Linked DNA regions of Caenorhabditis elegans. The protein of the gene in region 1 interacts with the protein of each later gene in a pairwise test. Each region holds a gene or a part of one and is shown in the gene's direction. Other genes may lie near its edges.

Region 1 (7,591 bases):
GACAGTTGTTCTTGATGAAAGAGTGCTGGTTCCGCTTTGAAGACTTCTTACACTGTGCTCTCCTTTTCCTTTTTGTTTGGACTAAAAAGTTATGAGTACTACAAATAAATATTCACATTGCTCAACTTACATTGATTTGATGAAGATGAATGAATGGAATTTGCCACAGTCTATTTAATCTTTCAATTTCTTGTCTTCTTGCTTGAATGGAGAAATAAATTCCACATGCTGCAGCAGTTATTGCCAAAAACAGAACAACAATAGCCACAATAACCCATATGAGATATTCATCAACGAAACTTTTCGGACACTGAAAATATTTTAATTGATTATGGATTTCTGAAGCTCACTCGTACCAGATTTCCTGTAAAACCACATAATGGCACATCAACAGGACGAGCGTTATTTTTTCTAGATGCCCACATTACACCTTCATCTGAATAAAGAGCGTTGAAAGTCTGAAATGTATACGATATATTTTGACAATCCCGACTGATCGATATATCTTACCGCACTCATATTTTCTACATAAATAGTTGCCATTCGAGTATTGTTATTATTTTCATCAAGAGCCAAAAGAAAAAGAGTTGGATTACGAGTGCCTTTTTCATTTATGGTAACATTTCCAGACATTCCAATAAAACTTTGAGGAAAATATCTCATGAAGGCAGTTGCATTACGATACTGGGCTATTTGTCCCGCTTTCAGCATTTTATCAAGTGCAACACCGTAGGCATACACAGCATCATGCAGTTGACCAGCATAGGTGGCAGCCTAAAATATTGAACGATAGTTTTACATTTTTGGAGTAATTTAATAGTTTGATGAATAACACACGCTTCTTTTCTGAAAGTTTTACTTCTTCAATACCTACCACTGTAAAGTTTTCCCCTTCACAGTCCTTTGTACAAAAGTAGGGAGCCTCTTTCATTCTGGCAATTATTTCTTGTCCGAATATTGTATAATTCGTTGCAATTGATCCTTGTCCCATCATCTGAAACATCATGATTTTTTGGCCTTCTTGGGTGGCTTCCGTCAGATAAAATATATTAGTTTGATAAGGCTACAAAAATGAAAACCTACGTCACAAATAAAAATGGATTGCTTGAAAGCTTTTAAAGCTCGTGTGTCGTTTTCATCAGACCCAGTAGATAGAATCCAAGATGGACGTTCACCTCCTCCAAGCAATGGAACAACTGAAATAAAGAATGTTTCGAAATACTTTCATGTGGATCCTACCGTATCCCTTTGATTTAATATCAGAAAAGACGTAGACGTATTCATCCCCAATCATTCCAGCTTCTTCCGCTGCCAGCAACCACTTTCGGCGCAACCCAATTCCATCCTTCATACATGTTACAATTACTGTAATTTGAGAAATGTGAATATTAAAGTTTAAGTTAATCTTACTTCTTCCTCTAGATTGAATCTTTTTCAGAGCCTCAATCATTCCATCATTTGAAATGTCGGCAACCTGGATGGAATAAGCAAGAATGATGTCTCCAAAGTATGATACTACTTGCTGAAATTCTCTTGTATAAAGTTGACACACCTTTGTAATAAACCTGTAAATCATTTCTCATTGTAACACATTTCTCCGTGTCTTCTTCAGTGAAATAAGCGTATACAAATTGACTCCACTCATATCTTTTCAAAACAGCTCGAATAGCAACTCCGAGACTTCGCTGCCCCGCCGACAGAATTCCGGCATTTGGAAATCTTTCGAAATCATCTAACTGAGCAGCGTTTACAAGACCCCACGCAATAATTGGTCGATTGAAGTAGTTAGATACAATAAAAGCAGCTAGCGTAGCTGAAAACATAACTGGTTTTTAAAGATTGGATCCAAAAATTAACTGTTACCAAAACATTTGAAAAATTTACTTACGCTGGTTCATAGTGGGCCCAATGATGACGTCCACGTTGTGCTTCTCTATAAGATCAACAGTCATTCCAGCGGCTTCAGATTCTACGCAATCGTCAAATTCAATAGTAAAACTGAAATTATTTTCAAAATTTACAAGATGATATGAACTATTAAAACTCTTCAATCCGGCCTGTCTATTTTTTTTTACAAAACAGTATGGCATTAGAAATAATCTACTTACTTGAATTCCCAACCACTCATTAGATTCTCCCTTTTCAATCTATCAACTGCAATTGAAGCTGCTGCTGCAGATGTACGATATCCAACAGTGATAGGTGCACTTTGAAAGTCTCTACAGTGAATAAATCCCACTCGAATCACATTTCCAGTGGTACCTGTTGCAACTTGGGGAAACATAGGTTTAGGTAACAACTGAAAAAAAATCATTTTTATTTTGTGGAATTCGCTTTCAAAACCTACCGTAATCACTAAAAACAAAACTAGAGACATTGAATAGAAGGGCTTCATGATTATTTTCTTATGCTAAACTGGCAGACAGCAGATCTTTTTATATCTGCACAAGGGGCGGTGGGATTTATAGAAACTTAAGTTTACTACGCCTGCCGCCTAATCCGTGAAACCTTATTTTTATATTTTTCCGCCTCCCGAAACAGTTGATACGTGAAAAAGCACGGAAGAGAAAAAAGCTTCTTTTGGACTTGATTAATCTGTTGGTCATGAGAAAGCGTGACACAAGGTAGGTTACGGTAGCAATTGCGTAATTAATCGGATCAGTCTATGCGCATTTCTGAAACATTGGGGATTTCAAATCTAGTTTATCAAACAGATACAAATCACATTGACATCTCGTGGAAACAGTCTGTAAAGTACCGCAAATTTTACAATTTTTGATATTATTGTCGTTAAACAAGTTCCATTTCAAATTTTTTATTGAATACGGTAAAAAAACAAGAGAGGCAGCTGGTTGAAGTGAGTCACTCTTGTTGAGTTTTCGTTACTGGAAACCTGAATGAAGATAGTTTTTAACTTTAGCATTACGCCTCATTATTTTCCTATTTCCTTTTTACTATTTTACTTGTATTTTTAAACTTTGTTTAGCACATTGAGCACATAAAACCAAATGTTATAAATATCCTTATCATCAACCCATCGGTTTCTTTTTAACTTTTTTCTTTCTCGAATTTCAATGACCCGGAAAACCACCACATCATATGAAAATCGAATCTAAAAATTTGCAGATACGCATCTGTCCTGCTGCGCTCTTTTTTTATTTTTGAATGTTTTTTTTTCTGCAAACGTTGGGAACAGTCATCCAATCCTTCAACCGTTCGTCTCGTTTTGAATGACAAACGTTCTCTTTCCGTCCTCTGTTTGAGTATATTTACATTGCTAATTCAAAAAAAAATAGTATAGAATATAATGATACTTAGAGATAGTTCTGGCATAAAGTTTAAACTTGAATGAAATCATCAATGCCATTAATAACTGTGTCACTGCATTAGTTTATCAGCAAGTGTGCCAGCAAAAAAAACGTTTCGAGACGATTCGATACATTCCTGAAAAACTTCGATAAAAGGGAAGTATCCAAACAACCACACCCAACTTTCATCATTGACTCGCTGTTTTGCTTTTTATTTTTGTTAATCTTCCTTACAATTAGTTTTAAAGTTTAAAACAAATATTACATGTTAGAAAGAACTGTATTTTGGTCAGTTTGTTCGAATAATTTCGAAATCTAAAACCTTTTCTTTTTGATGATTCGTCGGAGTAGATGTTTCTCGAAGGAGGTAAAAAAAACCGTGGGCGATTCTTGTTTGCATTGAGGATAATAGAGCAGTAGTAGAAAAGCAGGGAGTGTCAACTCAGTTTTGTCTTCTTCTTCCCCTATTTCTGTCTTACTTTCGTTTTGTTTCTTTGAAATAATTAGATTTTCAGAAACTATTATAAAATGGATCGTCGTTTTCCACCATTCTCCCCATTCTTTAACCATGGCCGGTAAGTTTCTAAATTCTCGTGTTTTCGGAAACTTCTATAGTTGAAGTAACATAACTTTCTGTAAATTTTCTTCTTTAATAAGTGACGTCACTCAAATTGTACTCTGCGCCGCTAGTTCTTAAAATACACAAGAATTTAATTTGGCGCGATTTCTAAAAATAAGCTAGCGAGAGGACTTTGTACTCCAGTTTAGCAAATAATGCTCTGAAAAATCATAAAGACTGGAGATTTTGACATATTTTTCTGCAATTAGAAAATTAGAAAATTAACTTTAAAAATTTTACAAAACTCCTACAAACAAGTTTTCTAGCAGATTCTTCGATGACGTCGACTTTGATCGCCACATGATCCGACCATACTGGGCCGATCAAACAATGCTCACTGGACACCGAGTAGGAGATGCTATTGATGTTGTGAACAACGATCAAGAATACAATGTATCTGTAGATGTTTCACAGTTTGAACCAGAAGAGTTGAAAGTGAACATTGTTGATAATCAGCTAATCATCGAAGGAAAGCATAACGAGAAGACTGATAAATATGGACAGGTGAGGGTTTCCCTCCTTCTTGAAAAACTCAAGTTTTGTATGAAGCTAGTGCAACTTGAAAATGTTTTCATGCATCCTTAGATTAGCTCTCAAGATCCTGAAACCTTACTCGGAAAAGGGCAAAAAGTTATCCAAAATAAAGGCCAAGAGTTCTAGATTATCCTTCCGCCTGTTACGCAATACAAGGAAGCCAAGCAACTCATTTCCGAGCTTATAACGAAGTTGTACTAAAGTCTAAAACCTCGTTGTGCATACTTTCAGGTAGAGCGTCACTTTGTCCGGAAGTATAACCTTCCAACAGGGGTCCGTCCAGAACAAATCAAGTCCGAATTGAGCAACAATGGAGTGCTCACTGTCAAATATGAGAAGAATCAGGAACAGCAGCCAAAATCCATTCCAATCACAATTGTGCCAAAGAGAAACTGATTTCAGTTACCTAAGTGTCTGTATTTTAACTATTTCAAAAATATTTATTCAATTCCATTATTGAAGTGACAATATAAACATTTTGTTTAGACTCCAACAATCTTTTGAACCGTAATGAATAGAGCATATGGGAACATGGATGGCCTCTTCACTTTCACATAAACTGAGCAGAAGTTGAAATCATCATAATAATCATAATCGATTCGAACTCCTTGTGAGTTTAAATCAACTTGCATTGAAGCGATTGAAGTATCGTTTGGTGATCCAATCGTTGAGAAAACCTTGAATTTAATCATGAAATCTTTTCAAATAGTGACGAAATTATACCTGTTGTGCTAGAGCAAGTGGAAGACTTCCATTGATAACTGCAGATGATACAATGACGTTTTCGAGTGTTTTATCTTGACAATGAGATTGACACCATTGAACTTGGGATACATCTTTTCCGCAATTGGAAAGTGAAGCGTCTGGAAATTTCTTAAAATCGATAGGAAATCTTTTAAAATTAGTTTAGAATACTGATGCAACACATTAAACATGATAAGATTCATTCTTTCCTGTTAGCAGATTAATTTATAATTGATGAGCTTTCTCTATCAATGACGTTTTTTTTTAGATAACTCACCAAAGTTGGTATTAAGTGCAACGTCGGTCTTGACTTTTACAGAAGAATCAGCAAGCTTCACATGGGAAGAATAAGTGAGAGTATGTGACATAAAGTCGTTCTATAACAATTTATATCAAACACTAGTGTTTTCTAATTTTGAACCCACATTGACACAGAATCCATTCAAACTGAAATAATTATCTGGCTCATAAGCATTGAAGAAGATATTCTTAGCATGTACTTGTGCCCATGTAGAAGGTTTTTGTGTCAAATCACAGGTAACACTGGCTCCAGCCAAAACTGTAAAAGTCGAGAGCAAGACAAACAAAACACGAGAGCACATGGTTACTACTGATAATGAGCCATATCAATTTCCTTTTATAGACGAAATTTTTGTAACTCTTTTAGTGACACTTTCTGGTTTCTGAAACTGATTTGGTTGTTTGCTTTGCACTTATCGAGAGGTTGAAGAGTGGGTGGAAAGTCAAAAATCCGATTAAAACAAGGAATAGTATTCAGGAAATACTTTGAAATGTTTTATACTTTATCATGTCGTTTATCAGGTGATTTGATATTCAAGTGCCAGAAATTATTATATTCTCGTAACTGAAAGTCACCATTCATTTATCATTTTATTCAACCCGAAAAGAATGATGATTACGTGAAAGTTTCTATTGACTATCTACATTGAATGATAATTATTTTCCAGCTGGCTTGAAATAATGCACAGGTAGTTTTGAGCCAACTCCAGAACCAACAAAACATTTGCATTTTCCGACTCGGCATGGAAGACCATAACAATTGTCTGATGTTTTTGTACATTTTGTTTGATGGCAGAATGTCAGAAGTACTTTGACGAAAAGTTTGTATCCGTGAGAATGGAATGCATTGACACAATCACAATTTCCATTGGAATCACAACCATTTCGTAGGCCACCACAATCCAAATCACTGCTGCACTTTTTGTTAGTAATGCAAGCATTACAGTCACATAGTCCAAGCTCACTTCCGAAACATTTTCCCTGAAATTTACAGACTTACATTTTTTAGTGTACCTATTAAGGGGGAGCAATGCCCATTGGATTTAATTTAATTTAATTTAATTTATTACGATAGTAAGATATCGTGAGGTAGAGAAAAAAAGAACACACATTAATAGATACAAACCATCACAAGTGGTTACATAAACAAATTACATAAATAAAACGAAACAGAAATAAAAAAGAGATGAGAAGAAAATAATGGCTACATTGGAGAAGAAGCAAAAAACACAAATATCGATGTATAAACGGCAAGAATAAATGATGGATAGAAGTGAGGATAAGGTAACATTAGATCAGTGTTGCTTCATTGTGGGTAGTGTTCTGTTGACAAAAAAGTGTCTCCTAAGTTTAGATTTTCCTGTGCTCCAGATATATTTCTTTTTAGAACGAGTTTGGGTCTCTTGTTGCTCAAAAAACTCAGATGTTTTTAAGTCTACTTTACCAGTATTCATTCTGGTTACTTGGATTCTGTCAATTATTTTACGTCTCGTGCTTAAGGTTTGGAGGTCGAATAGTTCGTTACGTTCCATGGCAGTTTTGTAATCTTTATCAGTTGGATTAATATATCTTTTTTTGATTCTACTATAAAGGCGCCTAGTGAATGCGTTTTGTACAGACTCTATTGCTTTCTCATCCGATTTTTTTGTCGGAGAAGACACTACTGTTCCATATTCTAACGAGGGCGGATGAAAGTTTTGTATAAGAGAATCATTAGTTTCTTATTGGAGGTACTGTACTGGTTGAACATGTTGGCCAGTTGAAATTTAGCTAGATTGATACATTTCCTCCAATGCTCAGAGAAATCCAGCTTTTCAGAGATTAAAAATCCAAGGTCTCTGGTAATAGCTTTTCGCTCAATAGGGTAGCCGTCTAGGTGGAAATCTGTTCTACGTTTTCCTACTGTGACGTGAACTGTCTTAGATTGGTTTAGAGTGAGTTTTGATCCCCTTGTCCAATCTACTACAGCATCTAGAGCAGACTGTAAATTGTTTTCGCTTTCAGTCTTAGGGGTCGATACATACAATTTCGTGTCATCTGCAAACTGTTTACATGCTACTTTTTTGGGTAATATTGATGATATATC
Region 2 (7,492 bases), about 10 Mb from region 1:
GTAACTGGAAAGCTTATTTGTAATGGACAACCTGCTAGTAATGTACTTGTCAAGATGTATGAGGATGGAACATGTAAGTTTAGAAAAAAAAAATTTTTTTTAAACTTTTTTTTTCGAAATTTTTTTTTCGGGAAAAAATTCGAAAACTTGAACTTTTCAGGCATTTTAATATACACCGTTGAATTTTTCATGAAATTTCCGTTGATTTGACACCCATATCGGCTATATTCGACACACCACGAATTTCAGGCCAGATTTAGGCCGTTTTAGGCCGAATAAGGCTCAATATTCAAAATGCTAAGAAGTAGTTGTCATAATTTTAAAACACTAAGAAAATCTGAACTGGTTTTAATTTTAAATATTTAAGGCCTGAAACGGCCTGAAACGGCCTGAAACGGCCTGAAACCGGCCTGAAATTCATACTTGCTCAATTATAGCCAATATGGGTTTTAAATTTTTGCAAATTTAGAGGTTAAGCTAATTTTTAACATCTTTTATGCTGGAAACAAGCGGTATTTGAAATTTGGCCCAAAAAAATTTTTAAAAAAAAGTGTTTTTCTTCAAATTTTCTATAAATTTGATGTTTTGCGTTGTTTTAGTTTTAAAAAAACCAATTTTTCCACTAAATTTCCGTTGTTTTAACACCCATATCGGCTACATTCGGGAGTGGTTAAGTTTCAGGCGGTTTCAGGCCCTTTTTTGGCCCGAAATCAAGTTTTACGAAGATTGAGCTCTAAATGTATACTGTTTATTAAAACTATGGGTCAAAAACAATTGTAAACAAAATCGTAAAAGCTTCGGCCTGAAATGGCCTGAAACGGCCTGAAACGGCCTGAGCCCGGCCTGAAATCCAAACTTCCTCAAATATAGCCATTATGGGTGTCAAAATTTTGCAAATTTTTAGGAGAATCCAAATTTTCCACTCAAAACTATCGTAGTCTAACAGATTTCAGAAAATCAAAAAATTTTCCAAAAAAAAAAAATTTTTTTTGCAGTTTACGATAGCAAAATGGGCAGTGTAAAGACTGGATCAGACGGAACATTCCGCGTATCCGGAGATCAAAATAAAATCCGAACAATCGACCCGAAAGTCAACATTTACCACAAGTGCAATTATAACGGGGTGAGTTTTTTATTTCAAAAAAAAAATTCGATTTCAAACTCAAATTTTTCCAGCTCTGCTCGAAAAAAGTGTCCATCAACATTCCAAAAAACGCTGTCGTCAGCGGAAGCGGACAAAATGCTAGAAATTATGACATTGGAACTATCAACTTGGCTAACAAGTTCTCTGGAGAATCTACTGATTGTATTCATTAAAAATTTGGCTTTAATATGTATAAAAAATGCAAACAAATTTGTATATTTTGAAAATTGTTTTATTTTGAACGGTTAGAATATTTTTTCCAAAACAAAAAAATTTTTTTCAAGTTTCAAATTTTTTAAATTTTGAGATTTCAAGCATTTTTGGAAAATTTTGTACATGGCAAGATTTTTCATATCATTTTCATGGATTTGACATTTACTTCGGCTACATTTCAAGAAACTGGGCTTGTCGAAATGATTTGGACCGATTCGGGCCGTTTCAGGCCGTTTCAGGCATGAATTTCCAGTTTTTCTGGAACTGCGTTCTTACTTTCAGGTTTTCCTCATTACTGCATAATTTCTACACTTACCTTGACCTAAATTCGTGGTGCTCATATTTCAAGTCTAGAACGGCCTGAAATGACCTGAAATAGGCCTGAAATTCAACATTTCATTGTTATGCAAGTTAAATCAAAAGCCTGAAAATTATCTTGAAGTTTTAAGTGAAGGAAATCTGTTTTTCAATAAATTTTGAGTTTCGGGCCAGTTTCAGGCCGTTTTGGGCCGTTTTTTGGCCCAAACGTCCAAATGTTCAGAGTATAATCAATATGGGTGTTAAAATTTTGCACATTTTATGGAGAACACGAATTTTACATTTTTATTGTTCAAAATGTCCCCTGGTGTCCCCGAATGTCCCATAGGTGTCCCATAAGTGTCCCTCTCGTGGTTTTAGGCTATATTTGTCGGAATTTGCTCATTTTTTTTACAGAAACACTTTAAAAAGTGTAATTAAACGTTTATTTTATGAAAAATTCCAATTAAAACATAAAAGTTATCAAAAAGTTCCAAAAAAAAAGTTTAATGAATGCAATCAGTACCCTCTCCTGGGTACTTATTGGCCAAATTCAGAACTCCAATGTCAAAAAGTTGAGCTTCTTTGGATCCTTTGCCAACTGCGTTCTTCGGAACATGAATGGTAACCCTTTTCGGGCAAAGCTGAAATTTTTGAGAATTTTTTCAGTAAAATTTTTGAAAAAAAGTCGAAATTTTTCGCTGAAACTCACTCCGACGTGGTTGCATCTGTGATAAATATTGATTTTTGGGTCGATCTTGCGAATTTTATTCTGGCCGCCGACTACTTTGAAGGTTCCGTCTGCCAATGTGTTTGTAACGTCCATCTTGGTGTCATAGACTGCAATTTGGGGCATTTTGCTTCCAAAAATGATCAGATCGCTAGGATTTTACAAAATTCAAACTCGTGGCGTCAATAGCTTCAATTTGACACCCATATTGTCTATATTCCGGCAATTTTGAAGATTTTGGTTAAACCGCGACGCGACCGCAACGCACGGTGATTTTTTGCTTCAAAATGTTGAATAAACTAATGTTTATTTGAGATTTCTAAGTTTGTATTAGTGATACTGAAATTTTTATGTCTTCAAACGTGCACAGTCCTCAGTGATACGCTTGTTTGCAAATTTGAGCGGCCGCGACGCGGCCGCGACGCATGGCTAAAATCAAATGTCTTTAAATATATACAATATGGGTGTTAAATGAGAGCTATAAACTACAAATTAAGGAAATACACGCGTTTGATTTCCAGAAACTGATTGTTTCGTTGCTACGACTGCTTCTGAACTTGAGCGACCGCGACGCGACCGCACCGCACTCAAAAAACTAAAGTTGTCTGATCATAGGCAAAATGGGGGTCAAACAAAAGCTAAGAACGTCAAAAATTCAAAAATCGTATTTTCAACCTTTAAAAGCGAACTATTCTAATGTTACGGTTAGAAACCGCGACGCGACCGCACCGCACTCAAAATACCAAAGTTGTCAGATTATAGGCAATATGGGGGTCAAATGAAAGCTAAGAACGTCAGAATTTCAAAAATACACAAATTAAAACATAAAACTGGAAAAAAAAATGGCTCACCAGTTCCATCCTCATACAGCTTGATCTTCACATCCTTCACAGCTTGGCCGTTGCAAGTGAGCTTACCAACTACAGTAACCGTCTGCTTTCTACCAACAATTCCGCCGAGCCCGTGAGCCACGGCTAAAGTCGCAAGGAAGAGCAGACAAAGTTTGAGCATCGTTTGAGCAGATTCTCAGGAAGTTTCCGTGAGTTTTGCTCCCGGTTTTTATGGGATTTTCGGGTGACAAACATGTTTTTCTGGTCCCCAGCGGCATGTTTACACTAAACAACAACTGTTCCGTTAGATAATCACCTAATCGCCGACTTTTATCCGTTTCTCATCTCGTCTGATTTCCCTGATTTCTTATCATTTTCCTGGATTTCTTATCGATTCCCGGTCGACTCCTGAGCAATGTTCAAAGAAATTCTGCTCATTTCCACTGTTTTTCTGCTCACTGATGCCTTGGGAGGTATTGTTGGGAGTAAACAGACGGTCACTGTGGTCGGCAAACTGGTCTGTAACGGAGCACCGGCTAGAGACGTCCGTGTGAAGCTTTTCGAGGATGGAACTAGTAAGTTGAAAGTTTCAAATTCGATTTTTTCAAGTTGAAAATGTCTCACCACGCTGTTAGCTTCAATTTGGCACTCATATTGCCTGTATTTGGACAATTTTTGGTTTTAGGGCACGGCGCGGTTGCGTCGCGGTTTCTAATAGTCACTATTTACCGTAAAATTAGAGCAGTTCGTTTTTAAGGATCAAAATTACGATTTTTGTATTTCTGACGTTCTTAGCTTTTATTTGACCCCCATAACGACTATATTCGGATAACTTTGGTTTTTTGAGTGCGGTGCGGTCGCGTCGCGTGTCAAATGCAAAAATTATTGTAAAGCTCCACAATGGCAAACATTTTTGAACAAAGACGTTGTATTAATCATAACTCAAAAACTTACCGCGTTGAAGCATGAAAAATGCAATTTCAATTTTCGCCGCGTTGCGGTCGCGTCGCGGTCACACACCCCAAAATTCAAATTTGTCCGAACATAGTCAATATGGGTGTCAAAATTCTTGTCTTGACCTGGAAAATCTGAATTTCCTAGTTTTAACAACAAAAATGTTAACTTTGAACATTTTATTTCACAAAAATACAATTTTCTGCAGTCTACGACACGAAAATGGACTCGGTGAAAACAATTGCTGATGGAACATTCAAGGTCTCGGGATCCCAGAATAAAATCCGCAAGATTGACCCGAAAATCAATATTTATCATAAATGCAACTATTCTGGAGTAGGTTTTTGGAGAAAAAAATTGAAAAAATTCGATTTTTTTCCTATTTAAAAAAAATTCAAAAATTTTGAAATTTTCAGCTCTGCCCAAAAAAAGTGACTATTCATGTTCCAAAAAATGCAGTTGGTAAAGGATCCAAAGAAGCTCAACTTTTCGACATCGGAACCCTCAATTTGGCTAACAGATACCCAGGAGAGGGCACTGATTGCATTCATTAAACTTTTTTTGTAATTTTTTGATAATTTTTATGTTTTAATTGGCATTTTTCATAAAATAAACGTTTAATTACAATTTTTAAAGTGTTTCTGTAAAAAAAATGAGCAAATTCTGACAAATATAGCCTAAAACCATGAGAGGGACACTTATGGGACACCTATGGGACATTCGGGGACACCAGGGGACATTTTAAACAATAAAAATGTAAAATTCGTGTTCTTCATAAAATTTGCAAAATTTTAACACCCATATTGATTATACTCTGAACATTTGGACGTTTTGGCCAAAAAACGGCCCAGAACGGCCTGAAACTGGCCCGAAACTCAAAATTTATTGAAAAATAGATTTTCTTCACCTAAAACTTCAAGATAATTTTCAGCCTTTTGATTTAACTTGCATAACAATGAAATGTTGAATTTCAGGCCAATTTCAGGCCATTTCAGGCCGTTCTAGACTTGAAATATGAGCACCACGAATTTAGGTCAAGGTAAGTGTAGAAATTTTGCAGTAATAAGAAAAACCTAAAAGTGAAAACGCAGTTCCAGAAAATCTAGAAATTCAGGCCTGAAACGGCCTGAAACGGCCCGAATCGGTCCAAATCATTTCGACAAGCCCAGTTTCTTGAAATATAGCCGATGTAAATGTCAAATCCATAAAAATGATATAAAAAATATTGCCATGTACATTAAAAAAAAAATTTTTTTTGGAAAAATATTTGAACCGTTCAAAATTAAACCATTTTTCATGTTTTAATTTGCAATATAAACGCTTAACTACATCTATGCAAGTGTTTCTGTAAAAAAAGAGCAACTTCTGACAAATATAGCCTGAAAACCACGAGTGGGACACTTATGGGACACCTATGGGACATTCGGGGACACCCGGTAAAATTTTGAGAAATATGAACTCAAAATTCGTGTTCTTCATGAAATTTGCCTAGTTTTGAAACCCATATTGGCTATGTTCTACAAACTTTGAAATTTTGGGCAAAAAACGGCCCGGAGCCTGAAAATGGCCTGAAATACAAAACTTTCCTTTAAATAACTTTTATTTCACAGTTTCAAATTTTTCAAAAACGTTTGCTGAAATTATCGACATATACCCGTCAATATTTGTTTTCAAGCCTAGAACGGCCTGAACTGTCCTAAAACTGGTCTGAAATTCAATTTTCCGCAAACATAACCAATTTAGTAGTTCCTTATACAAGTTGGCAAATTACTACAAACGCACTGGCATTAAACTGAGTGTATTGATATTTGGGCTCCAAAAAGCCCGAAACGGCCTAAAACTGGTCTGAAATTCAAATTTCCTCGAATATAGCCAATATGGGGGTCAAATAAACGGAAATTTTATGAAGATTCCAAATTTTCATGTAACAAGGCTTGAAAAAAATCAAAATTTTCAATAACTTGCTCATAAATTAATTTTTCAACCCCCTGTCAACACCAAAAATCTATAAAAGAACCCCAACAAATTCGATGTCGAAATGTGCAGAATCACCCCGATCTTTCCAACTTTTTCCCCCGAAAAAGTGGAAAATTTTACGATTTCGGCCATAAAACTCGGAAGCTTAAAAGCCAACCGTAGCCCGAGGCAATCAAAATTTCGCCGCGAAAATGCAAGTTTTCGTGATTTTCCTGGTGGTTCTACCCATTTCAGGGGTAGTTTCCATCAATATTACAGAACCCGAATTTTTTGAAATTAATATCGATCGGGACCATCCGGAGAAGCTCTACAAGGCTTTTGAGGATTTTAAAAAAAAGTGAGTTTTTTTAATAACGAAAACTTGGCCCAAACTTCAAAATTTTGAAAAATCAATTAAAAATTCGGATTCCCCATAGCAAATAACCCCTACGCCTGAGTTTTCAGAATTTTAGTGCAAAATCCCGTCAAATCGGGTGCCGGGTACGCAAACACCAGGCTACAGTAACCCAAAACACCGGATTTGACGACATTTCGCACGAAATTGTTGAAAAATAGGGTGCAGGGGTAATTTTGGGTGGAGAATTCGAATTTTTACATAATTTTTCAAAAAAAAAATGGTTTTGAAGTGTTGAAATTTCGATTTTCAGAAATAATTGAACATTTCTATTAAAATTTTTCAGAAATCTTATTGTTGCCGTTTTAAGCCACTTTTGAGAAAAAAAACATAATTTTTCACAGGTACAACCGAAAATACAAGGACGAGTCGGAGAATCAGCAGAGATTCAATAATTTCGTAAAATCCTACAACAATGTCGATAAGTAAGTGAAAAAAAACATGGCCCAAACTTCAGAATTTTCAAATTTCGAGTCGAAATTCGGATTCTACGTAGCAAATAACCACTAACCCCGTTTTTCAAAAATTTAGCGCAAAATTCCGTCAAATTGGGTGTAAGGTCCACAAACACTAGGCTACAGTAACCAAAAACACCAGATTTGACGCAAAATTGCACTAAAGCGTTGAAAATTTCGGGACAGGGGTAATTTGAGGCGTAGATTTCGAATTTCATAATGAAAATGTTTTAAATTTGAGTTTAAAAATGAAATTTTTGAATAAAAAATTTCGAAAAAAAATTTCAAAAAAATTTTTTTTTTTCGGTTTTTTTTCAATTTTTTTCAGATTAAACGCAAAGTCAAAAGCAGCCGGATATGACACCCAATTTGGCATTAACAAGTTTTCTGACCTATCCACCGCCGAATTCCACGGCCGTTTGTCCAATGTAGTGCCCAGCAACAATACAGGGCTCCCAATGCTCAACTTCGACAAGAAAAAACCGGATTTTCGCGCGG
Region 3 (8,816 bases), on another chromosome or scaffold:
TTAAAATTAAAATTTCAGATGGTGTGTTGATGATAATCTGTGCAAGCCGAGTTTCGCACCTTGCACTACAAAAGTTTCGGTGAGTGGGAAAACATTGCAGTTTGAGAATAAAAGAGAACTTCAGCTCAAATTAAATTGCCCCACAAAACCTCAAGTTCCATACGATGAACACTTTGCACGGACTCAAGTATTGGCTCTAGCCTCGGCTTCCCATAATGCCAATCCTCAGCTGTGTCTTGAGTAAAAATATGAGCAAGCTTCAAATAATTTCAGTATAAAATAATTCCAGCAACCAAATTCCAACGATGAAGCTTCACAAAGTTCGAACTGTGAATTGTTCTGCCGATTATCCAGGTATTAATTTATATATTTTCAAGCACATAATTTATTTTTTAATTGTTATTTTAGATGTGGAGTGTAACGGTTACACAGCATACGACACCGCCCAAAAAGTGATTGTCATTTCATTTCGAGGAACCAAAGGACCAAATCAAAATAATCAAATTGTGGAAGGAATGACTCGAGAGTAAGATTGAATATATACTACTTAAATTATAAATGAAAACTTTTAGTGGGCTTCTTCCATACTTTGGAAATGGTTCCGGGAAAATCTTCAAAGTTCTTTACGATTCCTTCATGCTCCTTTGGAACGGTGGAATGAAACAAGATTTGATTTACTTGAAACTTGAATATCCAACGTTTGATTTATGGGTTAACGGACATTCTCTTTGAGCAACACTTTCATATGTGACGGCTTCATACATAGCATCGAGAGGACTTTACAGACCACGTAATATGAAAATTGTTGTTCTTGCTCCGATGAAATTAGGAGATTATAATTTTGCAGAATGGTATTCGAATAAGGTATTGTTTAATCTTTTGATACAAATTAGTTTTCTAATTTTTCAGTTCCCATCTTCATTCCATATAATTCACCGATTGGACCTCATTCCTAGAGTTCCAGCAATTGACCCTCATACCAATACAACTGTGATGTTCCACCCAAGAACCGAAGTTTGGTGAGATTGCTTATTGAAAGTTAGAACATTTAATTTCAAACATTTTTCCAGGTACAACAATTACATGAGATTGAATGACACATACCAAATTTGTGAAGAAGCGGATGGAAATAACTGTAGTGATGCAGTTACGGAAGGATTGAATATGAATGATCATGGATTCTATTTCGATATTAATATTGCAAATTGGGGAAAGGATGGGTGTCCAAAAAATACGACTGGATATTCGCAGCCATGAAAAACTATTTACACATCTCTCATATCTTTTTTATTTGAATAAATGAATTATTTTTAACATAATTCTTTATGATTTAATTCTCTAAATGATTTGAAAAATTTCAATTTACCATGATTGCCGTAATTTTTTGTTAGTTTTAGATTTTTGTTTTTTGTTAGTATATTCTTGTTGCATTGCCTAAACCAAGTTTTGCCCAACTTTTGCGAACTTTTGGAAAAAGTCGATATTCTTTGGGTCCACCGGAAAATGTTCAACTTGATCAACTTCTTCCATACTTCATTTTTTCTGTTTTTTTTTCAAAACATGAATCATCGAGATTATCAATTTATGGAGGAAACAGTGTGCAAATAGTGGCACCAAAAAAACGAGATGTAATCAAAAATAACTTGTTTTTCAGGTCACTCTTATCGCTTTTTGAAATAAAGTATCGGAAAATAATTACATTTGTTGATATAAAATCTTCTTTAGACTGAACCTGAAATTTGAACAAATATTTCTAAAAAAAAGCTGGTAAAAGTAAAAGTAATTATTTGTTGAAAAGATTTCAGTAAACCTAAAGTTTAGTGTTCTAGTCAACCAACAGGTCTGTTTGAATAGATGAGTACATACACACAACGTGGTATTCATATAAAACTTGTTTTTCTTCATTCTTATCACTTTCTCATTGACCATTAGTCTTGAAGAGTTGATCGAAAAGAAGAGCCGTCCTGGTATCATTTTATCATTTATTGTACTCATCATTGTTGAATTTTCTCCAAACGATCAAAAATGATAGTTTTATTTCTGCTTTTTCTTATTTCGCTCGGAATTTATCCATTTACATCAAGTTCTTCGTTAGACTGCTCAAATTGTGTTGGATCAGGTCAAGTGTGAGTTGCTTTGAAGGTGTAGTATGTTCAGTTGGGGTTCAGTACAAATACTTTTATCATGGTACAGGCGAATCTTCAAAGTTAAGAATTTCAGATGTTTCAAAATTTTCAATTTAGGTTGTGGTAAATTGTCAAATTTTTCAACAATGTAGAGCGTCCGAGCTGAGTTCCACAAAATAATTTTTCAATAGTGAATAAAATTTTGATTGGGCTTTAGGGCTGCAAGACTAATTTTTGAATGGCCTATAGCTGACAAAATCTTGATTTGATGTCATTAAATCAATATTTTCTATTAAACTTTCAGATGGTGTGTTGAACAGTCTCAGTGCAATTCAAGCTTCGTATCTTGCAGTACAAAAATCTCGGTGAGACCTGATACTCATATATAGATGAACTTATTCAACAATTCCAGCTCCAACTAAATTGCCCCACAAAACCGAAAGTTCCATATGATGAACATTTTGCACGTACTCAAATGTTGGCTCTAGCCTCGGCTTCCCATAATGCCAATCCTCAGCTGTGTCTTGAGTAAAAATATGAGCAAGCTTCAAATAATTTCAGTATAAAATAATTCCAGCAACCAAATTCCTACAATGAAGCTTTACAAAGTTCGAACTGTGAATTGTTCAACAGACTACCCTGGTATGATTCAATATAGTAATATTTATCAATTTTTTTTTGTATAACAGATGTGGCATGTTATGGATATACTGCTTATGATGTCACTCAAAAAGCTATTGTCATATCTTATAGAGGATCTCATGGACCGAACCAGAACAATCAAATACTGGAAGGAATGACTCGAGAGTATGTTTTGATTCTTTTTTTTATTATATTGGTTTCAGTGGTCTTCATTCATACTTTGGCAAAGGTACAGGTAAAATCTTCAAAGTGATCTACGATTCTTTCATGCTCCTTTGGAACGACAGGATTAATCAAGATTTACGATATTTGAAGTACAAGTACCCTGACTTTGAGTTATGGTTAAATGGGCATTCACTTGGAGGAGCCCTTTCATATACTACAGCTTCATATTTAACAACAGTTGGACTATACAAACCAGAAAATATGAAAATCATTGTTCTTGCTCCTACGAAAATAGGAGACTACGATTTTGCAGCGTGGTATTCGTCCACAGTGAGTCTAAAATTTCAAGTTTCATGAACATTTGATAATTTTCCAGTTTTCATATTCATTCCATATAATTCACCGATTGGATCTTATTCCTAGAGTTCCAGCAATTGACCCTCATACCAATACAACTGTCATGTTTCAACCAAGAACTGAAATTTGGTAAGTCATAGTACTTGAAAGTTTCGATTTGAATACTCTTTAGGTACAATAACTACATGAGATTGAATGACACATATCAAATTTGTGAAGAAGCCGATGGAGACTACTGTAGTGATGCAGTTACAGAAGGATTGAATATGAATGATCATGGATTCTATTTCGATATTAATATTTCAAATTGGGGAAAGGATGGGTGTCCAAAAAATACGACTGGATATGCTCAACCTTGATAACCTTTCAATTTTTAATTTTGAGAAAGAATGAATATTTTGAATCTAAAATTTTTTAAACCGAACATTGTTCTGTCAAATTTATTAGAACTTCTTCATGAATTCCTCGAAACGAAAATAAAATTCTTTCACGCAAAAATTAACACGTGAAATACGTGGAAAGTAGGCCATGGGGTCAGTGTCAAGTTTTGCCACGCACACTGTTCAGTGTTCTCAAAATTTCTTTAACCATGCTAAAATACTTTTTTCCACAAGTTCGCTTTTTTAAATTTTTATTCAGAGAATAATTTTTTCGTATACGAATTTGTGAGAACATTGCGGTTCTTGTCATAATATTTGCATATAAGAATGTTCAAAATTTAAAGAAACTTTCAGTTTTTTATATTTTTGTGATTATAAACGCGATTTTATGTGTTATCTGTGATTTTAAATTTGGCCAAATGTGTGCAAACAGATTTATTATAGTCCTTTTCGAAAGCTTTGCTTTCTATTGCAGAAAAAAAGCGAAAATCTGAGAAATGCAAATGCGCTCTGCTGCACTGCAAAAAAAAAGATTTTTAAAGAGCAATTTTTCATCGCTTTTTTGTCTCAATCTTCTAAATTATTGTCTATTTTAAATAATTGAATAACTTTTAAAACTATTTTCAGAGAGATGCAGTATCAGCTGAGTCCAAGTGGGGATTTCAAGACATCTGCTCCAGTTCGATCGTCTCATGGCCATCGCCGTTCAACCGAGTCAAAAAAATCGGGAGGACATGGAAATCCATATTTGTCTACAGACAAAACGAATCTGGATATCAGTGTATCATTTTTGACTTCGCAGGCCCAGAAGAAAATGAGAGGAATGTCGGCGAATCATGGAATTTTCGACCCCACTGAGATGCTGACTGCAGATGATCCCTCGAATTATGGATACCAATTCTTGAACCACGCCACATTTTACAATAACATGGATATAATGCAAGCAGCGTCTGGAGATGTTCCTCCGTTAATGAGTGTCAATCCTTACAAACAATCATTTGACATCAATGATGCTTCCGCGGCAATGAACATGGCTCAATTTGCTCGTTTGTTATACTCATGTTTTCATACCTATTGTTGAATTTTCAGATACGTTGAATGCAATTCAAAACAGTTCCTATTCAATGTCTCATTATAACCAAGCACCTATGCAGCATTTCATTTCGCCCAACAGTTTTCATGTATCGTACAACCAGCGGTTCCCACATATTAAAAAGAATGCAACGCACGCGAATCGTATGGTAGAAATAAAGAAGATCAACGGACACCGTTACATGGAAGTGACCGATCCCCAAGCCGTATCTGCTCCACCAGAATACAAACGCCTTGATGGGTCACTAATGGGCGTATCAAAAAGTTGTTTGGAGGCCTCGAAAAAACGTCCGATTTCAGCTGAACCGCTATACTCCCGCAAGGTTTTTATTGGCGGTCTTCCAATCGACGTCTCAGAAGGTATTTTGTGTCATAAATTATTATTCTAATTTTCTGAAAGTTTCTAGAGCAAGTTTGGGCCACGTTCGGAGCTTTCGGGAAGGTGCTGATTGATTGGCCTCGTCGCCCGGAGCACAATGCAGAACGAGCTGAACAGGAATTGAAAAAAGGAAGCGGTTGTATGTTATATTCGTACACATCATCAACAAAGATAAACTATTTACAGCACGCGCTGTAACGGGATATGTTTTTCTCGTTTTCACTCACGAGCGGTCTGTCCAGGAGCTAGTCAATGCATGCGAGTTTTATGAAGATAAGTTAGTGAAAGATTGAATTTTCATAATAATAATAATAATAATATTGCTATTTTTAAGATACTACCTTCAGTTGTCTTCTCCAACGATGACCGACAAAGCAGTCCAAGTCCGGCCTTGGCGTCTTTCCGACATTGACTACTTCTGTAATGACAACTCTTCGGTCGATCATCGTCGCACTGTCTTCATTGGTGGCGTTCCTCGTCCGACCCGTGCTCAAGATCTTGCACGTTGTCTTGAAGGTCACTATGGAAAAGTGTCGTATGTGGGAATTGATATTGATCCAGAGTTGAAATACCCAAAAGGAGCTGCCCGAGTCACTTTCTCAACTTCTCAAGCATTTGTTCGCGCCATATCGGGTCGTTTCGTGCAGGTCAATCATGCCGAAAATAACAAACGAGTGAGTCGAGATTAGAACTAATTGAGTTTTTTAACTTCACAATTTTAGGTTGAAATCAAGCCGTATGTGATGGAAGAACAATACTGTGATGAGTGTGAAGGAAGATTGTGCAAGCATAACTATGCTCCATACTTCTGTGGACATGCTTCCTGTCTTCAATATTACTGTGAAGGTTGTTGGGATCGCATGCATATTGGAAAGAATGAAGATAACAAGCTCGAAGATCAGCATTATCCAATGGTGCGCACTGGAGATCAAACAAGAGTCAGTTCTAATAAAATAATATCTTTATTGTATTCAGAAGTATTTTATTTTCAGCTTCTCAAGCATCTTCCACATCGCTCCTCTGGTTTTAAGCCTGCTCCAGTTTTCCATCCATCTAGCCAATCTACTACGGCAAAAATCTTAGCGTATGGAGATCAGTCACAGAGACAGTTTTCTGCCACTCCCTCCTATAGTTTCTGAGACTCTTATCTCACTAAAAAGTATTCCACCGTTTTATCCGCACCCTACCACCCCCTTTCATATTTTTAAAGTTTTGCCTTAATATTCCGAGAATTCTGCTCAATTTTGAAACTCTTCCTTTTCAAAAAGAAGTACCATATTTTCGTGTGAATCTCTCCGTGCAACTCTACCATTCCCCTAGATTCCATTGTAAACTTCAAGTAATCATGTTAAATTTTCATTATGTAATATTCTCTTCATGTTTTATTTCTCGTCTCTTGACATTTCCCCCAACATGTTTCTATATTATTATCAATCCCTGGTACCCTATATCTTGTGTATTTATGTACATCCCATTCTTAGCCTATCCGAATTGGCAGAATTTTGTAATTTCCTTTAGAATTTTTTATTTATTGCCCGTATCCCACAAAGTTCATACTCGATCAGAGATATAGCTTAGATAGTTTGAATTGTAGCTATCATTCAGATTAATTATATTATTTATTGTCACCCCGTGATATTTAGTCCCCCATATTTAACCCGTTTTTAATTTTCCCGGTTTTAAAATTGCTCCGAACATTGGCTTTATAATTTTTTTGTGACGGAAGAAATTTCCAAATAAAGTTCTTTCACCAACAAAGAAATGTTCTAGAAGCAAAAATCATTGCCGCATCTTTTGCGAATTTTAAAGTGCACGTACTGATAACCCCACCTCCTCCCATCAATTTCCGTGAATCGAAACTTTGATTAAGTCCACGCCTTATCGAATGGCTCATTTCACCTCGAGGTAAAACTCTTTGAAAGATGACAGCATCCCCTGCAGCTTACCTTTTGCTTCATTTATTTCTGAGACTTACAGCTAAGACTTGTTGGCAGTGTTTACAGGATGGAGGACAGTTAGTTTCAAATGATGTTTGCGAGGTTTTGATTGAAGATTTTCAGATTTTGTTTAGATAATAATCAATGCATAGTTGATGTGTTAACAATTGAGACAAAATGTAATAGGATAGTTGATGTAAGTCTGTGGGCCCAATAAAAGTAATAAGAAACAATTTTAGCTTCCAATAAATTGTCCATCTGTACCAGCACTACAGTATGCTTATGACGACGATTTTGTCAGAAATACAGTTTTACCTGTTATAGCTGCAACCGGGACAGATAATCCACAAAAATGTCTTGAGTGAGTTTAGGAAAATAGTTTATTGCCAAGAAGCAAAACAAATTTCTAAGAAAATACGGTACCCGGTCTCGAAGCGATCGCTTTTTTTTAAATTCAAAGGAGCGTGCGCCGTTAAGGTGTACTGTAGTTGCTAACTTTTCGTTGTTGGGTAATTTGAATCGATTGTTTATATTTTTCGATAAAAATATATTTAAAAAAATAAAATACTGAAATAAAAACTAATAAGACAATGTTCAAAATAAGAATTTTCAGCAACCAACTTCCTTCTATGAAAGTCTATAAACGGCGTGAGGCAAACTGCTCCTCACTTTTCTCAGGTAAATCCAAATTTTTCTCGGAATTCAATCATACTGCTTCGTTTTAGATGTAACTTGTTCTGGATACACTGGAATTGATTTCGACCGAAAAGTAATCGTTCTCTCGGTTCGTGGATCACACGGTGATCATCAATATTATGATTTGTGGAAAATCGGAAATTTTAAGTTGGTTTTAACATATTTTACTCTTAAAATCAGATTAATTTCAGTGGAACAGTCCCATTTCTAAATATTGGAAGAGTTACGAAGAAGTTTAATGACAACTTTGAATCATTATGGTATAGTGGATTGGGTGAAGATTTGCAAAATTTGATTGATGCCTATCCGGATTATCAGTTATGGGTGGGTAAAGGGTTTGAAAATTATTAAGTATGGATGTATAGTTTAAGACAGTACAATAAACACGACAACATGAATATTGCGGGAAGTCAAGGTTTGAGTTGTGTGACGTCACACGAAGTACGGTTCTTGTTATTAATTTAAACCTTAACTTTTAAAATGTTGGGAAGTGAAGTTTCAGTATCACGAATTCTTAAAAACATTTCGTTTCATTTTCAACACCTGAAGTGAATCCCCTCAACCCCAGAATTTCAGATAACTGGGTACTCGATGGGTGCATCAATTGCATTACTTACATCTGCATTCATTGCTCAAACTGGAATGAGCTCTCCTTACAATATGAAAGTAATTTTATTTGGATGTCCTAGATGTACAGATTATGATTTTGCAATGTGGCATAGTACCAACGTAACGAGATAAATAGAGAACGTCTAAGTTTAAAAGTTCATATTTCAGTTTCCATATTCTTACCACATTATCCACGCACATGACTATGCACCACGTCTCCCTTTCTTTGATAATATTGATAACACAACACTTTATCACCCACGAAGTGAAGTTTGGTACAACAATGATATGCGTGAAGGCGACTCTTTTGTCATTTGCGAGCAAGCAGATCAACCGTTTTGCAGGTTTTCGCAACATTTCTTATCAGCAACTATCAACAAAAATGTTTGATTTTTTCAGCAGTCAGGTGCAGAACCTGTCAAATGCCGACCAT
Region 4 (7,093 bases), 2.0 Mb from region 1:
GTAGTCGTTGCATTAATTTTTTGTTTTTCATCTGTCTGTCTCCCTCTTGTAATATTGTTTTCCTATTTTTTTCTCTATTTTTTGTGTCCCAATAAATATAGAGTCAATGATCACATGATGTTGGAGAAATTGTGTGTTCGCCATAGTCATTGTCTTGTCCAAATATCTAACGCTAGCTACACTCTAGCATGCTGCTCACTTCTATCTTTCCCATTCTTCCAACTCCCCCCCATTTCAACAATATGTGGTCGTTTGTGTCAGTGTCCGGTGGACGATGGCTACACTTTTGCCGCAAGAATTGTATCCAATCGGGATCAGGTTCACTTTTAAAATTGAACCCGGTTCGGATGTTTCGCTTTTGATCTCCTAATCCAAAAACCTGAAACTGTATTTTTAAAAACGTTTCTATTATGGATTTAATTCCAAAAATTGAGAAAACTATATTTAAAGAAGAAATTATTGACATGGCCTCCATTCCATTTCTTTCTTATCATACATTTTCCCACAACTGATACCATGTGCAGCCTATTCAAAGGGTCACTTTTTGCTGAAGTGTGTAGAACAAACATGCAATCCGAAATTACAGTTCCACAACTGTTTACTCTACAATTTCCTTTTCACATTTTCTTCCTGTTTCAGTGCCGAGAAATTGTAGCTAGTAGCAAACAAAACAACGCCGTGAAATTTCGTCCTTGAAGTTTCCCTTTCCCTCCCGAGAAACATCCAAGTTCTCGACGGTTATATCGATAATTATCTTCTTTTTGGTCGAACTTTCTGTCTGTTAAAATAATGATAGGTTACGGTTGAAAACATAAATCTAACATTTTTTCGAGATTAGACTTGAGATCAATCTATAAAATGAGTCAAGTCGTATGAAGTTTCATCTACATACTTGACCACAAGTTGATCACTGAATTGAACTGCGCCTAGATCTCACACTATACCCGAAAACAATCTCCACCCTCCCAATTAAATAGAAATAGTGACATCATTCAAACCTAACTAACTTTGTAAAATGTCTATTGTTTTTAGATTTGCGTAAATTCTTATACTGAACGTATTTTAATGTTTCAATGAGTTGTATACATCTAAATTGTTATAGACAAAAACGTTTCCAACAAATCATCATTCCAAATTTCGGCAGTTGATAACTGAAACTTAGATTTCATCAGTTTTCTAGACTTCAATTTCACGAAATATTTTGCTAACGGCGATTAAAATATTTTGGCATTTCTCTATATGATTGGTTACTTGTTTGCGCGACTGTCGTCATGTGATCATCATTATTCTGACCGCTTCCTTCTCGTCTCCGAATATCGTTTTTTTTTCGTTGACTTGCCCCCCTCCGCCTTCTCTGTCCTTCATGAAACATACATCATCTACCAGAAAATTTATTTAGGCAACTGCGTTTGATAATGATAACTAGGCAGTATATAACCCCAGGCTGACCCTTGAAGGTCACGTTGACCATTCTGAAAACGCTCGCTATAAATTTAATTTTCCTTCAATTTCATTGCTGATTTTTCAGAAATGGCATTCACCGAACTAGTGGAAACCCAACGCAAGTACTTCCGTACAGGAGAGACAAAACCAGTCAAATTCAGAAAACAACAACTTCTGAAACTTAAAAAGTTTATCGAGGAGAACCGCGAGGCTTTGTCAGAAGCTGTTTGGAAGGATTTGAGAAGAGTAAGTTAGAATTTTCAAGTATAAAATTCAAATTTCTAACATTTTCAGCGCCATGAATCCACTGAAATTCTAGAAATCGGAATGACCATTCAAGAGATTGACTATTTCTTGAAGAACATTGATGACTGGGTGAAGCCAACCCACGTTGAGAAGACCTTCACAACTGCTCTCGATAAGCCAGTAATTGAGAAAGATCCAAAAGGAGTTGTACTCATCATCTCCCCATGGAACTATCCGGTCTCTATGATCCTTCTCCCAATGGTTCCAGCAATTGCCGCCGGAAATACAGTTGTGATCAAACCATCCGAACTGTCCGAAAATGTTGCCGCAACTTTTGAGAAGCTCATTCCAAAGTATTTCGAGTCAAAATACGTGACTGTCGTGAACGGAGGTATCCCAGAGACTACCGATTTGCTCAAAGAGCGATTCGATCATATTCTATACACCGGATGCCCACCAGTTGCCAAAATTATTATGACAGCAGCTGCAAAGCATTTGACACCAGTCACATTGGAATTGGGAGGCAAATGGTAAGTCTATAGATTGATTTTTGAACAATTTCAAAATTTAATTAATTCAGCCCGGTCGTTGTTGAAGATGATGCTGACATTGATATTTCTGCTAAAAGAATCGCTTGGGGAAAATGGCTGAACTGCGGACAAACTTGTCTGGCACCAGACTACATTCTTGTGAATAGCACTGTGAAGCCGAAGGTCAGTTTTAGTTAAAAAATTAATTTTTTTGTTGATTTTTCCTCCATTTTTGATCAATGATATGGTTGGTGATGACAGAGATACAAACTGTTTGATAAACAATTATTGATATCGCACCCTACAGCTAACTAGACTACAAAAAGAATATCCAAAAATTTCAGCTTGTTGCCGCAATCCGCAAATATGTGAACGAATTTTATGGCGAGGATGTGAAAGCAAGCAAGGATTACGCGAGAATGATCAATCAGAGACATTTCGAGTTAGTTTATTTAACTATTTACAATATTTATATAATTTAATCTGAACTCTTCTTCCAGTCGCATCTCTGGGCTTCTCGATAAAACTCAAGGAGCTGTTCTTATCGGTGGAGAACGTGATCGTGCAGATCTCTACATCCCTCCAACTGTCCTTGACGTTGAGAAATCTGATCCATTCATGCATGATGAGATTTTTGGTCCAGTCCTGCCCATCATCACTGTCCAGTCTTTCTCGGAGTCGCTTGAGTACATTGCTGATGGAGAGAAGCCTCTGGCTGCTTACATTTTCACAAGAAATGAAGCTAAAGTTAAACGCCTTTTGAATGAGACTAGCAGTGGTGGTGTGACTGTTAACGATGTGTTGATGCACATTACTGGTATGCTATTTTAATTTTAAAATATCTGAATAATTTTTGAATTACAGTTGATACTCTCCCGTTCGGAGGAGTAGGTGTCTCTGGAATGGGACGTTACCGTGGAAAGTATGGATTTGACACATTCACCCATGAAAAGTCTGTGCTTCACAGAGGATTCTTCGGAGAATCTCTTTTAGCGTACGTTTTTTCCGAACCTTCGATACCTAATCGCATTAATTTCAGAGCTCGTTACCCGCCACTAAGCCAACAAAAGCTCGATCAAATGCGACGCCTCACGGGAAAACGAATCTCTCTGAATCTGATGAATGTTGCGACTCTTCCTATCGTAATGGCCTCATTCGTTTTTGGAATGCTCTTCCAGGTATGCAGAGGAAAATCAGCTCAATAGATTCTCACACAGTCAGCACCTGCTTCACTAGATTAATTCACAAATCGCAGTACAATTTTTCAGAAATGTTCTAGAAATGTACAGGATGATTAATTACTGCGAAAATACGTGATATTTAGCTTATCATATTCACATATTTTTGTTGCTTTCCAATTTGCCTCACTAACTTATGTCCAAACATCTAACAATAAACTATTCAAATCAGTTATTGTACGGATATTTCCCGTTTGTAACCTCCAAAGGCTCCTTATGTTTCGAAGGTCCTTCACATCCTTTGTTTTTATGCTTCAGCTAACTAGTACCAATTCGATAACAAATAAATACAGAAAAAATAATACTAGTTTCAGTTCATTTTCCGCTTCTCGGCATAAAATCGAGACATGCTGGTGGAGGTGGCAAACGCGAAATGGCGTACAGTAGGCTCGGTGTTTGCGGACTAGTCGTGCGGTCAATGTTCACTCTTACGTACTTTCACACCACTATTCTTCTTCCGTCTCGCCCTATTTTTTAACTTCTTTTTTTTTTCACAAATTCCTAGTCAATTTTTTCACCGGATCTTCTAATCATTCCATAAACTCTAGTCCATAACCAATTCCCGCATGAAAAGTGTCCCCAAATATTAAAAATTCGTGTAGTTTCAATTTAAAGCAATAATTTTATTAATTTTCATTCCCGATATTTTCAGAAATATGCTCGCAATCTTCATTGATCCGCCAAACGTTCATTTTCATTTTTTTTTTAAATTTTCCTCCCCTCTCTTGAGTATGTTTATTTTTGTAAATATTTTAATAAATCATTGTTTTGTGGAATTTTGCGCTTTGTTTGATTTTCCTGGTTTCCGGTGCCTTTTCTTCGATACTTATAAACATCCTTTGAACAGAAAACAATTTCTAAATTTATATTCAGGTATGTTCCGCGCAGTCCAATCAGTCCGTTCTCTTTCGACCACCGCGGCTTGCCGCCAGGACTTGATCCAGCAGACTTTCGTCACCAAGATCCGCGAAATCGCCAAGAACGCCGGTAACCTGGCTAACTCTGATCCAGCCGTTAAGAAGGCTCTCCAGGAAGAGCTCAACAGATTGGCCACCAAGTTCCAGCTCGCCAACGCCGATGTTGTTTCGAAGCTCCCAACTAACTTTGAAGCTGCTAAGGTAATATAAATGAAGACAAACAAACAAAGATTTATTTAAAAAATAAAATTAGCTAAAAAAAATTTCAGTTACAAAAGTATCGCTCGATTGAACAATTTTTAAATGAATTATCGAAGTAAATTAAAGAAACATCCTTATTTTTGTCGATTAATAACCAAAATAGTTTCAAATAATTTTTAAAAAATCAGCTTTTGTTTTTGTAAATATATTTGATAATCTGAGAACCAGAAGTAACCCGATTAATGTATATCTTATAAATTTTAGATTATTAATAGGCTGTTCCAAGTGCTGAGTTAAAAAAAAACATTAAAATGCTCGTTTCCAGGTTGACTCTGCAGTTCAATCCGCTCTTGAAGGACAAACATTGGCTTCGCTTCTTGAAGGAGTCAAGAAGGACCACTCTGAATATGTTGCCTCCCGTGATGCCAAGAAAGCCGAACAAGCCGCCCGTAATGCTGCCCTCAAGCAATAAATTTAAGCTCTCGATTTTGAATGGTGTATTGTTTCTTTTTGTAATAGATCGTCTATAGACCGAATGAACGTTTTTGTTCCTTAATTTTTGAAATTTCTCTCTGTTCTTTTGTAAACTTTGTTGTTTTAGTCACGAAGCTTATTTTTATTATTCTCATTCAAAATTTTTCGATAAAGTGGCTTGTTATCAGCCATTTTAAACTCGTTCAATCAAATCATGGGTTGTACAGTTGTTCTACGAGCAAACATATTCAAACTCTTCCCCAACCCGTGAATACTCTTTTGAACGGCACCCCATTGCCGATTTGGGGTGCACCATTAGGCAGACCTGTCTGTCCGCAAGCCTCCTACGTCATCACACAGACACTAACCCAGCACCATTGCGCAGACGCGACAGACGACCTTTTATTTGCTACTCATATACCACACGATTTCAAATTGCAGGTTTTCGTTCCGCCGAAATGGATTCAAAACTCTAGTCATTTCAAAATTAATAAAAGGTTTGTGTTTTTTTCTCTCACGCATTTTTAAAATTCCATTTCCAATATTTAAGATGGTCGAATTTTCAAAGGAGTCATCGACCAGAGTCTCTGTAAACTCACAACGACAAATATCGCATGTCCAGAAACGAGAGCTCACGAAGCGAAAGGTTCGTTACTGATGTAACAGATAAGATGGGAAGTAGTGTAGGCGGGATTCTAATGGAAGACTGGAAGGTCAACCGTTCGATATGACATCATTGTGACCCCATGATGCTCGTCGGAAGATAGGGATTCTTTTTTTTTTTGCGTATCTGCTACGTGGTTATTATGCGTTGTTCAAATACTTTAACAAGAACAGTTTCTCTATGGCATTCATCTTATGATCTGGTAAGATTTCCATTTAAAGAAACACATTTCCTGAGCAATAAAAGTATGAATAATAACTCATTAATTAATAAACGTATTTTGCAGAGTGTCCGATTTGAAACACAAACTGTGGAGTCAACATCCGAATTTGTTGGTAAAACGAATCAGGAATGGACGTTCGTCGCTGATTGCTTGTATGTTTCAAGCTGTAATTTATTAAAACTATTTTTTAAAATTCCATTTTTCCAGCAATCTCGACAAAGAAACTCGAAGTGAACGAGAACAGGAGCTTCTCTCGCTGTGCAACTTCTTCGATTCGAATGAGAAGGAACTCGAGTTGAGCGGTATTAAATTAAAATTTTAATAATCCAGTTATCAATAAGCGTATTTTAGATGCTTCTGACGAATCGGATGACTCGGTTCCATTCGAATTATTTGCCGAGCAGGGAATGCGAATTGCTTGGACTCAAATCGTTACGTAAGGATTATTTGATGGTTTATGTTGTTTTAAAATTAAATTTTTTAGCTCACCGTCATTGAGCAATCTTCGCTTAGCTAGCATTCTCCGCTTCGATACAAAAAAGAAAATAGTTTCACCCTTCATTGAGTGAGTTTTTCTGATAAAATGCCCGATATTAAAATGAATTATTCTAGAGACGAAAAGAGTCCTCAAGAGTTCTTCTTGGACGACAACGAAGCGGTCGAGAATGCTTTCAAAGGTGTCTTACCATGCACAAATTCTCAAAAAGTGAGCAGGTCACGTCGAGCTTCAAAATCAGAAGAAGAAAACGATTTCGTAACGGCCAAGGGATCCGACTTTTGGAGTGATGTCGAATTTTAAGAAAGACCACGCAGCAGAAGCAACAACTACAATGTTCACAAATCCCAATGCAAAAACTGACCGATTAACGGATTTTATCTACTATCAAGAGCTTTCAACCGTCTTCCAAAGAAGAACATCTATTCGTCTCCCCGCAATTCTATATATAATTTCGTTTTGTCTTATCTCAAATTCTGTTCGTATTTCATTTACTGATCAAATTTACTCTTGTTCTATTGTAAATCATGTCCTTATTCCTAATCTCCAAAATTTTTTAAAAATTAAAGTTACCATTCCACTAATTTTCATCTCTTTCCCTCAACCCATTTCATTCCTTTCGCCGATACTCTAAAATTTAATGTGCCTTTCTTTCATTTAA

The links.
Region 2: the proteins of hsp-17 (region 1) and ttr-24 interact in a two-hybrid assay, tested with the Caenorhabditis elegans proteins (one large-scale study listed by BioGRID).
Region 3: the proteins of hsp-17 (region 1) and cpb-1 interact in a two-hybrid assay, tested with the Caenorhabditis elegans proteins (one large-scale study listed by BioGRID).
Region 4: the proteins of hsp-17 (region 1) and atp-4 interact in a two-hybrid assay, tested with the Caenorhabditis elegans proteins (one large-scale study listed by BioGRID).

What each region holds. Positions count from the first base shown.
Region 1 is NC_003283.11:8,382,160-8,389,750, reverse strand, and holds hsp-17 (SHSP domain-containing protein), read left to right. Parts: upstream 1-3,823; 5' UTR 3,824-3,836; coding exon 3,837-3,883; intron 3,884-4,193; coding exon 4,194-4,431; intron 4,432-4,692; coding exon 4,693-4,857; 3' UTR 4,858-4,943; downstream 4,944-7,591. Other genes in the region: gcy-7 (Guanylate cyclase), read right to left, coding at 1-81, 131-310, 357-458, 511-774, 875-994, 1,084-1,196, 1,240-1,365, 1,411-1,522 and 4 more; F52E1.14 (ZP domain-containing protein), read right to left, coding at 4,944-5,138, 5,185-5,324, 5,483-5,582, 5,631-5,807; F52E1.5 (Chondroitin proteoglycan 3), read right to left, coding at 6,163-6,486.
Region 2 is NC_003283.11:18,552,691-18,560,182, reverse strand, and holds ttr-24 (TransThyretin-Related family domain), read left to right. Parts: upstream 1-3,539; 5' UTR 3,540-3,629; coding exon 3,630-3,789; intron 3,790-4,376; coding exon 4,377-4,504; intron 4,505-4,584; coding exon 4,585-4,722; 3' UTR 4,723-4,796; downstream 4,797-7,492. Other genes in the region: ttr-26 (Transthyretin-like family protein), read left to right, coding at 1-73, 996-1,123, 1,177-1,317; ttr-25 (TransThyretin-Related family domain), read right to left, coding at 2,161-2,298, 2,367-2,494, 3,236-3,395; Y51A2D.8 (Cysteine proteinase), read left to right, coding at 6,337-6,482, 6,884-6,964, 7,323-7,492.
Region 3 is NC_003281.10:9,318,015-9,326,830, forward strand, and holds cpb-1 (Cytoplasmic polyadenylation element-binding protein 1), read left to right. Parts: upstream 1-4,295; 5' UTR 4,296-4,301; coding exon 4,302-4,716; intron 4,717-4,759; coding exon 4,760-5,122; intron 5,123-5,169; coding exon 5,170-5,280; intron 5,281-5,327; coding exon 5,328-5,418; intron 5,419-5,475; coding exon 5,476-5,815; intron 5,816-5,863; coding exon 5,864-6,079; intron 6,080-6,133; coding exon 6,134-6,280; 3' UTR 6,281-6,899; downstream 6,900-8,816. Other genes in the region: C40H1.9 (Fungal lipase-type domain-containing protein), read left to right, coding at 2,026-2,126, 2,431-2,491, 2,539-2,654, 2,704-2,768, 2,816-2,933, 2,972-3,263, 3,310-3,419, 3,463-3,649; C40H1.7 (Fungal lipase-type domain-containing protein), read left to right, coding at 7,064-7,155, 7,202-7,274, 7,318-7,439, 7,692-7,756, 7,804-7,921, 7,966-8,098, 8,351-8,503, 8,552-8,727 and 1 more.
Region 4 is NC_003283.11:6,424,350-6,431,442, reverse strand, and holds atp-4 (ATP synthase-coupling factor 6, mitochondrial), read left to right. Parts: upstream 1-4,330; 5' UTR 4,331-4,332; coding exon 4,333-4,575; intron 4,576-4,900; coding exon 4,901-5,047; 3' UTR 5,048-5,197; downstream 5,198-7,093. Other genes in the region: gad-1 (Gastrulation defective protein 1), read left to right, coding at 1-4; alh-4 (Aldehyde dehydrogenase), read left to right, coding at 1,531-1,689, 1,738-2,219, 2,270-2,402, 2,564-2,661, 2,720-3,036, 3,084-3,213, 3,259-3,397, 3,488-3,517; T05H4.11 (DUF4706 domain-containing protein), read left to right, coding at 5,600-5,695, 6,000-6,088, 6,144-6,238, 6,288-6,372, 6,421-6,501, 6,549-6,735.